Mus musculus: one gene and its partners. The protein of the gene in region 2 interacts with the protein of the main gene of each other region in a pairwise test. Links are inferred from orthologs where the notes say so. Each region holds a gene or a part of one and is shown on either strand. Other genes may lie near its edges.

Region 1 (4,196 bases), on a different chromosome or scaffold from region 2:
GCAAAACACATGAAACTCAAGAAGAATGAAGACCAAAGTGTGGATGCTTCGCTCCTTAGAATGGGGAACAAAATACCCATGGAAGAAGTTACAAAGTTTGGAGCTGAGACCAAAGGAAGGACCATCCAGAGACTGCCCCACCTGGGGATCCATCCTATATACAACCACCAAACTCAGACACTATTGCATATGTCAGAAAGATTTTGCTGACAGGACCCTGATATATCTGTCTTTTGTGAGGCTATGCCAGTGTCTGGCAAATACAGAAGTGGATGTTCATAATCATTTATTGGATGGAACACAGGGCCCCTAATGAAGGAGCTAGAGAAAGTACCCAAGGAGCTAAAGGGAACTGCAACCCTATAGGAGGAACAACAATATGAACTAGCCAGTACCCGAGCTCGTGTCTCTAGCTGCATATGTAGCAGAGGATGGCCTAGTCAGCCATCATTGGGAGGAGAGGCCCTTGGTCTTGCGAAGATCATATGCCCCAGTTCAGGGGATTGCCAGGGCCAGGAAGTGGGGAGCAGGGTGGGGGCAGGGTATAGGGGACTTTTGGGGTAGCATTTGAAATGTAAATGAAAAAAAAATCTTAAAAAAAAAAAGAATAGAAAAAGAAACAGGCTTGGTGACATACAACTGTAACCCTAGGCTAGGACCAAGGCCAGGCCAGCCCAGACTTGTAAGACTATCTTCGTCTTTGTTTTTTAGAGCTAGGGTTTTTCTCTAAGTAGCTTCCCTGGCAGTCCTGGAATTAGATTTGTAGACCAGGCTGGCCTTGAACTCAGAGGCCCGCCTGCCTCAGGGTAAGTGCTGGGATTTGGTCCACAGGCCCGCCCCCTATGGGACTGTCTTAAGGAAGGAAGAAATCCAAACTGAAGCTGTATTAGCACCTGTGCAGTGAATGCAGAGGAGGCACCAAGGATGTGACGGATCTGTCACATCCTTGGTGCCTCCTCTACCCAAGCTTAGGCTACAGGATAAAACTAAAGGATGAAATAGGTATGAACAGAGCAACAGAAGATAATGAAAGCAACCGGATAGTGGTCCACTCTTGGACAAAGAAAACCTTACTCTGTAGTCTCACACCCAAAAACTGTTTCCCCTAGTCCTTGGTTCTAGGCTCACCCAAAGAAATTTGTAGCCAGAGTGATGTACCAAAGGCACTGTCACTTCCGTGGCTTGATTTCCCTTCAGAGCCTCTCAGACATGGCCTAGGGACAGTTTCCAATTGTTAAAACAGCCTGGTGATGTGTTAGGACCCACCCACTCCTCCTTCAGTTCTTACACCTCACTGTCCTCCGAGTCTCAATTCAAGGGTTATTTTGCTGGAATCTCAAAAATCTACCACATGTTACCTCATTTCCATGTGTCAATTAATTCCATCTGATTTTAAACTCCATAAGAATGGGGTCCCTCTCCCTTTTATTGCTGAGGATGGATAATAAATATTCAGTTTAATTAAGGGAACAACAACAACGACAACAAAAAAATCCCTAAGCACAGAAAGAAACACACACACACACACACACCAAAAAAAAAAAAAAAAAACCTAACAAATATTAAGCCTCTTCCAGCATATACACGACTAAACACACTCCTTGCCTCATTTAATCTTTATATAACTTCAGAACCACTACTGTATTTTCAACATGGAGGGCCAAAAGTTAAAAGCTTATTAAAGCCAGGTGGTCATGGCACATGCCTTTATCCCAGCACTCGGGAGGCAGAGGAAGGCGAATCTCTTCAGTTCCTGGCTAGCCTGGTCTACAAGAGTGAGTTACAGGACAGCCAGGGCTACAGAGAAACCTTGTTTCAGAAAGAAAAGAGAGGGTGGCACCCGGGAGGCAAACCAACCTGGTTTACAGAGCGAGTCCCGGGTACCCAGGACTACAGAGAAACAAAACAATAACTCACTAAATAAATAAGTAAAACCACCAGGTCACTTAGCTCCAAAACCTAGGTCTTTTCCACCCCCCCCCTCCTCCACCCCCGCAATTGTGGAAGTGACAATTTAGCATTTCCTGTTACTTGACACCTCAGTTCTCTCCCATCACAATAGGGACCGGCTTCCCAAGGACTAAGATTTACTTTTGCACAACCTCTTTATAAAGGATTCACTTTAGGACTTAACAAAATTCTTACAATAAAGAAAGATGAAAATGGCTGGCGGTTTCTTGGGGAGGAGTCCAGGAAAGTGCTCAGCATCCTATCCTGGCTACTACAGTTAGGAACCAGCAGGTCTGCCATGTCAAAATTCATAGATTCTGAGGGCCTATGGATAAATTAAGGGGCCTGGAAGCCCTGTAGCAGGCACTTTTGGGTTAAGCCCTCGGGTCCTCTCAGGTTAACTGGGGACTCCTTCCGAGGCTACCCAAAGCCTCAGTTTATACCCTGTTTTATCCCGGGACCAGCTACGGGATTCTAAATTCCTTCCTAACAAAGCATTCCTTCCAAAACACACCCTCCTCTCCTAACACATCTACACCCGGGCCCCAGGGTCTCGCGCAAGGCCACTTCGAGCGGGCCCGCCAAGCCACACACCTGCCTTTAAATAATAATTTTTTTTAAAAAAACAATTAAGGTTGTAACAAATTGTAACGCTCATTCTTCTCTTCTCCAAACAATGGCTGGCTATACTCAAAAATGAGGGGCCCTCATTTGGAAAGCCAAATTGTAAAAACAGTTCTCACCTTCTTGTCTCCAGCAGTCTCCATCTTGAGAATAGATGAATCCTCCGAAAGAAAGTTCTCCCAGCTTCCAAAAGACCTCTGACCTCAGCCGGCTTTTCAAAATCTCCTCCTACTTCCTGTTGTCTTGAGGCCCTCTTCCGTTCCCCTCCCCTTCTGGTCCCACCCTCAACAAAATTGTGATGCTAAAATCTCCTTTTGTGGCTGATTTTAATAAAATCCCCTTTTGTGTGGTTTAATTATTAGGCTTGTTTCCTCGAATTTTTTTTTGTTTGTTTTGTTTTGTTTTGTTTTTGAGGCAGAGTTTATCATTTCTTTGCCTGGCCAGAAATGCGCTTTGTATATTGTACTGTCTCAACCTCCGGAATACTGCGATTTAGAGGTGTGAGCTGCTACCCCCTGCTCCTGGCAACTGTAGATCTGGGATATTTAAAACTGTAATTATTGCTGGGCGTGGCAGCACACACCTTTAATCCCAGCATTAGAGATGCAGAGGCAGGTGGATCTCTCTGAGCTCCTGGTCAGCCTAGTCTACATAGTGAGACTCTATCTTAGAAAAAAGAAAAAAAAAAAAAAAAGGGAAGGAAGGAAGGAAGGAAGGAAGGAAGAAAGAAAGAAAGAAAGAAAGAAAGAAAGAAAGAAAGAAAGAAAGAAAGAAAGAAAGAAAGAAAGAAAGAAAGAAAGAACCTAAATATTGCTAAGGGAAAGTGAAGTTCCTAGAGAATTCTGAAAAGACTGCAAATTTATCTAATGGAATTAGCATCCTGAACAGGAATGAAAACAACCCAGTTGCTCCAGAAATCCTTTTCCATGAGATGGCAGGGGGTGGGGGTTGCATTGTTTTGGTGGTTTCAGGGCTCACCCTGGGCTTTGTTTCTGTGCACCAATCAATCTACCACTGAGCTACAATCCCAGCCCATAAAATTACAACTCTTTTAATTCTTCCCCATCCAACCCTCCTTTTTTGAAGTCTCCACGGACCTGCAGCATACTGAGGTCTTCCTGTCTCATCCTCCTGACTGCTAGGATTCAAGGTGTACCCCACCACACCTGGCCAGGGCTTGAATTTCTGATCTTCTAGCTTCCCCAGGGCTGGAATTCAGGCCACCGAGCCTGGTTCAAAACTGTAACTTTCTATCTGCCAACTGTTTTTTTTTTTTTTTTTAAAGATTTATTTATTTATTATATGGAAGTACATTGTAGCTGTCTTCAGACACTCCAGAAGGGGGAGTCAGATCTCGTTATGGATGGTTGTGAGCCACCATGTGGTTGCTGGGATTTGAACTCTGGACCTTTGGAAGAGCAGTCGGGTGCTCTTACCCACTGAGCCATCTCACCAGCCCTTTTTTTTTTTTTTTTTTTTCTGCCAACTGTTAAAAGGTTTTGTCGTTGCTAGTTGGTTGGTATTTGATAACAGGGTTTCTCTGTGTAGCCTGCTGTCCTGGACCAGGCTGGCCTCGAACTCACAGAGCTCCTCCTGCCTCTCTGCCTTCTGAGTGCTGGGAC
Region 2 (2,835 bases):
CAGCCCTAGAGCAATCACGTGGGCAGGGTGTGCCTAACAGAGAATGGAGATTTTCACCTTGCATTCTTAACTGGAAATAAAGTACTCTCCTTATTCTCGTCCTGCAGGTCGGTGAGCTGGTAAAGGTTACGAAGATTAATGTGAGTGGTCAGTGGGAAGGGGAGTGTAATGGCAAACGAGGTCACTTCCCATTCACACATGTCCGTCTGCTGGATCAACAGAATCCCGATGAGGACTTCAGCTGAGTATAGCTCGACAGTTTGCTGACAGATGGAACAATCTGTTTCCCCCCAATTGCCATCTATACAATTTTCTTACAGGTGTCAAAGCAGTCTAGTTTATATAAGCATTCTGTTACCTGGGATCTTTTTTAAGACTGAACTACTCCATTCTCACTTGTATTTACCATATTCAGGGTACGAAACCGGAGGGCTTATGTGGTTAACTTCTGAGTTGGCAGTTTTAGGTGGTAGTTGCCGTGCCTGTATGAGAAGACGTAAATACATTGCCTCCTTTCTTTTGGGCAAAACAGATCAACCTGTGGAAAGCTGATGGGCAGGAAAAGAATGTTACTCACTGCTGACCCTGATTTCTTCAGAGGTTCTGTTTTCATCCTGAATCCATACTGTCAAGTGGCAGCAGACTGTTCCCCACTCCCATGACGTAATCATGCACTGTGTGAATATTACCCAGTGGGGTTGCATTTGCATTTATGGACCATGACCATTGTATGACTCATTCTGACATTTCAAATCCTGAGGATTCTGAGAACACTACTAGAGGCATTTGTCTTCCTTGGATTTTTCTTGGATTCTTTCCTTGTTACTCTCCTCCCCTGTACCTATAAGTGGCTTGATTCTTAGGATAATGTATATCTTCATTCCAGATGAGAAGCAGGATGTACAGAGCACTTTATTCAGTGCATAGCTTTAAGCCAGTATTGGATTCACTCAGTGGATAAACTCCCAGCTCTCTGCCTTCCCCCAAGGGGGCATCGTAGGTTCACACTGCTACCACAGCTCAAGACTCACCTTACTGATGGGACAGATCTGGCAGGGCCATTTTTCCTGATTGCTAGTATCCTAATGGGATGCTCAAAGTTCTCAGATTCTACTTGGAGTGGAAGGACCAATCACTTACTGTATCCTATAGAAGGTATCAAGGGCCAAACTTTGCCCTCTGCATCATGTGCAAGTTGTATAAAAGGCAGGTTAGAATTCTATGCATTTGGGTAGGATTGATACTTTGAAAACTATTCCAGTCGTAAATTACTTATGTATCATTTTACATGGTTTAATAGTTGGTGAAGTATATTACACTATAAATTGCCTTCATTTGGGTTCTCCTTTGTCCAGATTTAGTTTACAACCCTTTAAAGTAGAGAATGATTTATACGAGGTCAGATGCTCCAGAGACTAGGCCTCTGAGGCCACAAATTATAGGGTTTCTTTAGACTGTAACATGAGACTTTCAGGTGATAAAGGCACTTGCTGGTCTCTGGTGTAGGTGACCAATAGAAACACCTTATACTTTGCTTTGAACCTCATTTTAGAAAAATAATTTACCTTCTTAGTTGTCTTGTGTAGATTAATATGATGAATTTGCATTCATTGAACATATACCAAATCATGTGACTGAAGTGACTAGCACATTGCTGAGCACGTGTGTAGAGATTTTGTACGAAAGAATGAGCAGAGTGCAGAAGCGTGTTGTATGGCCCAGGGACGCCAGTTGGCATACATTACCACAGGCAGATTTAATGAGTTGATGCTAATTTAATACATTTTTTACCTCACTGTAGCTTGATAAAAACAGTAATACTCAACTTTAGAGATGTTGGCCCAGTTCTGAGCTCATAATAGGTGGTCAGTGATACTGAATGGACAGGTTTGTAGCACGTGACTTACTGCACCTGACTGCTTGTTTCACTTTTCAGTTAGCATAGATTGTGTAAATCCAAATGCACAGTCAATCCTGTTTCCCTAAGCCTTGTGTGATGGTGAATGTCTTTAGTCCTAGCCCTTGGGAGACAAAGGCAAGTGGATCTCTGAGTTCAAGACCAACCTGGTCTACAGAGCTACTTCCAGAACAGTCAGGAGTTAGAAAGTGAGACCTTGTTTCAAAAACAAAAACAAAAACAAAAAAGAATCTGTTCCTGAAATTATGGCATCGAAAACACTTCTTAGAAAATCATCGTCACAACTGATTTGAATGCTGGTATTTTCTTTTGCCTTTGATGCTGGCTTGTATTGTCTCTTCACTATATGTGGTGGGAATGGGATCTGCAGCTCTCCGTGAAGCCTACGAACTCCTCAGTGATTAGTTATTCAGAGCCATTACGTGAACTGTTTGGTTGGATTTGGCTGGGTGTAGCAGTTATTGGACCTCAAGAGATCAAAGGACTTCTTACAAATATCTTCCAAAAATAGCAAGTGCTATAATCCTAGTCAGATGCGTATGTACATTGTCACAGAGCAAAGTAAACTGAAATTGGCTGCTATGTTTTATATAATCACTTCTGCAAGAGCCCATTTTTGGATACTAATATTTGACATGGTTAATTCTTATTAATTTGTTGAAAATGTTTATTAATAATGCAAATAGATAATTTTAATTTTCCACAAGTAACATTTCACTATTAATGGTTTGAAATGGGTGATAAGCAAACCAATTTGAAATAAAATATGAACATGTGCCATTGTATTATAACACTATTCACTTTCTTGACAGTTAAATTTTAAAAATGTTTTTTTTTTTGTAGCATGTATTGTATATGTTTATAGTATATGTAGTAAATAAAAGTATGGCCAAATGTTTGGCTTGGTGATCTTTTGA
Region 3 (4,276 bases), on a different chromosome or scaffold from region 2:
AGGTTATCCTCTCCAACGCCAAGAGATCAGACCCTCTGGAGATGGGAGGAGAGCGTCTGTACTTTTTTTTTTGTTTTTTGGTTGTTTTTTTTTTTTTTTTTTTTTTTTTTTTTTTCGAGACAGGGTTTTTCTGTGTAGCACTGGCTGTCCTGGAACTCACACTGTAGACCAGGCTGGCCTTGAACTCAAAAATCCACCTGCCTCTGCCTCCCGAGTGCTGGGATCAAAGGCGTGCACCACCACGCCCGGCGTCTGTACTTTTAAAGCTCCTTCCCAAACTGCACAGAAGCTTGAGAAAGCCAAGTTCATAAAACATTTTACAAAATAATTGTATAGTTCTGAGAAAATGCTGCAGTTTCTGGGGGCCTGGGGGAAGAAACTGCCCCCGTGGCCCCAAGCTACCAGTGGGATTTGGAACTGCCCACACTTGAACTTATATGAACTGCGCAGGCTCTGTTTCCAAAAGCCTCTCACCCGCTATTTTAAGGAAGTGAAAGAACCGAAGGGTGTCCTGCTGTGACACAAGTCTGGGGCCCCAATCTTCCTCTACTGGCTTTGCCTTTGCTCTGCTGCTGGCCATGTCCCCGCAGTGCTCACACACCTGTTTGCCACAGTATTTATGATCTTCTGTTCATGTGTGCAAGCCTCTGGTCATACCAGTAATTTTAGACTAATTTTGAAAAAAAAAAAAAAAAAAAAAAGACGAGTCGTGTCTGTCAACACTCCAGGTGTAAGCAACTGGAGTCCAGCTTAGTAGAGACTCCTGCCAGAGTCCCTGTATCCCTGCCATCTGAGGCCCTGGAGATTCTAAGCAGATAAAATGAGCAACCGGCCCTTGGAGGCCCGGGTAGGGCAAGCAGCTGTGGTAAAACCCAGGGCCTTATGCACGCTCGAGGTAGGTGCTGGGATTCGGTCTCCAGGTTTTTTTTGTTTGTTTGTTTTGCATACTTGTACCTGACCTTGCAGGGCACAGGAAGTGTTCTGTCTTCAGCTATTCACAAGACAGAACACCAGAGCTTTAACCACTAGAGGGACCTTCAGGAAAGGCGGGGGGAGCGGCGGCGGAGGTTGAGTTAGACAGATCTAAGAGTGACATGGAACCCAAATTGGGGTTGGTCTGGGCTGATTGGGAATGATACAGGTCTTAGACTACCCTTAATCTCAATGGGGTTACACAAGGCCCGCTGTGTGTGTGTGTGTGTGTGTGTGTGTGTGTGTACGCTTGCGCTTCGGTGCTCCTTTCTGCAATTCTCCGCACGCTTTCCTCGTCCTGCTGACAGATTACAAAAACTCTGGAGACCTGAGCACAGTGGGACACAAGGAAAATGCCTAGGGTCCTTTCTGCGGCCGGAAGAGTGCAAGAGTCCTAGGTGCAAGCAGTGGGCTGGACCCAGAGAGGGGCGTGGTCTCCCGGGAGGGGCGGGGTTTGAGCCAGCACGGGAGCTCTGCCTGGGGGCGGGGCTGACCAGGCAAGTCCCTGTGGAACTGGAACTGTGGCTCTTGGGTCCTCGCGGGCCACTGCGGTGCGGGAGAAGGAGGAGGGGTGGCAGAGGGGCGGTTCCTAGGGGGAAGGTCCCAGCAGCCAGAGAGCCACACTCCGGGACCAGCCTCTCTGGGATCCCCGCCTCCGTCACGTGGGTGCCGAACCGGGTCGGTGCTGGCGGGTCTGCCACTTGGTTGGCAGTTGGTCCTTGGGCCAGTGGCCTGTCACTGGGTTCTCCGCTCTTATGTTGGAAAGTGTGAGGGACACAGGAGCGACCTGCATACCTGAGCCTCCGAGAGAGAAGCTGCACTCTGGCATCCAGGTCAGTGGGTCTCCCTGCCTCGGCTCACCGCTATCCCGGGAACTGAGTACCCCCAGATCCAAGAACTACATGGGTAGTTGGGCGTCTGTGGTCTTTTAGACCTTCGAACGTTTTCAAGACTTGGGGACCCACTTATTTGTCTGGGAGACTGAGAAAAGGGAGCAACTCCCCTGGATTTGCTTGAGTTTTCTACCCGACCTCGCTCTGGATGTGCCACCTGCCCCGCGCTTCTACAGGTGGCAGAGTGGTCCCCAGGATACCGGGGTGTTCCGATATCTCAGAGTTCCGGGCGATTTTGACCCAAGCCTTGAGTCCCGTGAGGGCAGCAGTGGCATCAACTGGAGATACCTAGGTGGGTTTGTTCCATAGACCTTTGGTCCAGAGCGCTTTGGCCAGGAGCAGTTCTGTGCACTAATTGCTAAATGCAACACACTTCCCAAAGGCTCAAGGCAGGATTAGGGTGTGGGGATGCTTCTGTTTTTAAAAGTGGGTCCTCTTCCCTCCTTCCATCCTGACGCCAGACCCATACTTTTCCCTCCGATCAAAATAAGGTTATTATATGTTTAAAAACTAGAACTTCCAAGGTTCCGGTAGGATTCAAATAGGCATTCAGCTCTTTCTTAGAGCACTGAGATATTTGATATAGATCAGTCTTCCTCTTCATATTTTGGTTTTATTTCTGCCTGTGTTCATTTCTCTTGGTCCTTAATTGATTATATTGTAGACTGTAGTGTTTATTAGATTACCGAGTATTTTGTTAAGGTAAATGCTCAACTACAGGAAGGAAGTCAATTACAGACCTAATTAATCTTCAGTCTTAGATTACTATTGGTATACTAAACATGTTATCTGATTAGAAATTATTTCTTTCTTCACCAGCCCGTTTGTATGCATATTTACGTGACTTTGAAGTGGAATATTGTTAAGTCTTTTGTTGTTATTTTCATTTGGGATTTTATTTAAGGCTGATGGTGATGGGAACTGGTGATCTCATTTAGACCCTTGTGAATGCTTAGCTAGGCAAGTGCTCTACCACTGAGCAACAACACTCAGCCCTCACATAATATATTAGTGGTATCACTCTGAGGTTTGATGATGTGCCGATTTTAGTTTATTGCTACTATTGTCTGTGTTTTGGTAACTAAGGCAGATATGCTAAGTGGATGGATAACATAAGAGATACATGTAAGAGATAAAGACAGATGAAGGTTGGAACAAACTTACAGAAATTCTAGGGGTTTGTTTGTTTTTTTTCACCAGAATAAGGAAAATCTGGGTAGGTTTTAAGAAGGATCAATCTATATGAGGGATGTCACAGGAAGATGTTAGCGGTGACCTGGGCCATGGAGAGGTCTATAAGGCAAACTCAGTCTATAAGAAATGGCTACTGGTCCTTCTTGGTTCCTGGCCTGATTGGTAGACAGAACAAAATAACAACAAAACCAATGGTCCCAGCTGGCCCAAGGCCACAGACTTCAATGTATGGGATATTAAGCAGAGACTGACTGTGGTCTGCTGAGCTTATCAAAGTTAGAGTCCTTGAACTTTGACCTGCCCAACCCCCAGCCTGACAGAAATCTAGTAAACATTTGTGGAGAGAAAGGTCAGCTGACATTTTAGAGCCCTGTGCTTCAGACACAAGCTTGAGAATCAAGAGATGATCTTCAAAAGTAGATTTTTGACACTGTGGGTCAGGGGTGAAGTCTGGCATTCTGTATTTCTAACCTATTTCTTTCTTGTTTGTATCAAGTATTAAGAGTGATGTACAAACTCTCCGAAGGCCTCGGAGTTTTGCAAACTCTTCAGGTTAAGTAGGTCCCAGGCATGTTTGGCATTCTCCAGGTGTTTCTAATAACAGCCGGGTGGGATCCACTATTGGACTTGGTAGCGCCTGAAGGACCACAGCTGGAAGGCCAGTTAGGAGACTGGCAGGCCAATTCAGATAATTATGAGGAGAGTGAAGTGTGAGTAGACAAAAGAGACCCTAGAAATACCAGGGCCAGGAAAAGGGAGGTGTCAGCCTTTATACTGGTTAGGCAGAATAAGACTCTAGGAAAAGGAACAGTTCTTGGAGAATTCTAGTTCAATTTTGGATGCACTACTTCGACAATACTGGTCAGCAGCTAATTTGTGTGTGTCCATAAGTTTGTGTGGGGATGGTTTCTCCTGAAATACAGATCTATTTATGATTCATTACTGTTTCAAATCCCCTGGTGAGGGAGAAAGAATGAATATATAGGTGACATGTTTTAAACGTTAAGACCTATAAAGTGTGTGACTCCATATAAGATATGACGGTCACCCCTTTGTGCACAAAAGTAAAGCTAAAACTCTGGGCTTGGATTCTCCTGAGTCACTGGTTTTCTTGCTTCCTCCTTCCTCTTAGGAGTTCCACTTCCTTTACCCTTTGCTACCCTAGAATTTCGTTTTGTTTGTGCTTGAAGGCACCTATGTGTGTTTATTTTTAGAGT

The links.
Region 1: the proteins of Crk (region 2) and Dppa4 interact in binary tests that used the Homo sapiens proteins (3 or more experiments, as listed by UniProt). The two-hybrid records come from large-scale screens. The link is inferred for Mus musculus from reciprocal best matches to the Homo sapiens genes CRK and DPPA4.
Region 3: the proteins of Crk (region 2) and Ppfibp2 interact in binary tests that used the Homo sapiens proteins (3 or more experiments, as listed by UniProt). The link is inferred for Mus musculus from reciprocal best matches to the Homo sapiens genes CRK and PPFIBP2.

The regions. Positions count from the first base shown.
Region 1 is NC_000082.6:48,282,339-48,286,534, reverse strand, and holds the start of Dppa4 (developmental pluripotency-associated protein 4), read right to left. Parts: upstream 2,801-4,196; 5' UTR 2,718-2,800; coding exon 2,694-2,717; intron 1-2,693. UniProt on the Homo sapiens protein: May be involved in the maintenance of active epigenetic status of target genes. May inhibit differentiation of embryonic cells into a primitive ectoderm lineage.
Region 2 is NC_000077.6:75,703,259-75,706,093, forward strand, and holds part of Crk (adapter molecule crk), read left to right. Parts: intron 1-107; coding exon 108-245; 3' UTR 246-2,835. UniProt on the Homo sapiens protein: Involved in cell branching and adhesion mediated by BCAR1-CRK-RAPGEF1 signaling and activation of RAP1.
Region 3 is NC_000073.6:107,593,575-107,597,850, forward strand, and holds the start of Ppfibp2 (liprin-beta-2), read left to right. Parts: upstream 1-1,476; 5' UTR 1,477-1,727; coding exon of another isoform or gene 1,728-1,805; intron 1,806-4,276. UniProt on the Homo sapiens protein: May regulate the disassembly of focal adhesions. Did not bind receptor-like tyrosine phosphatases type 2A.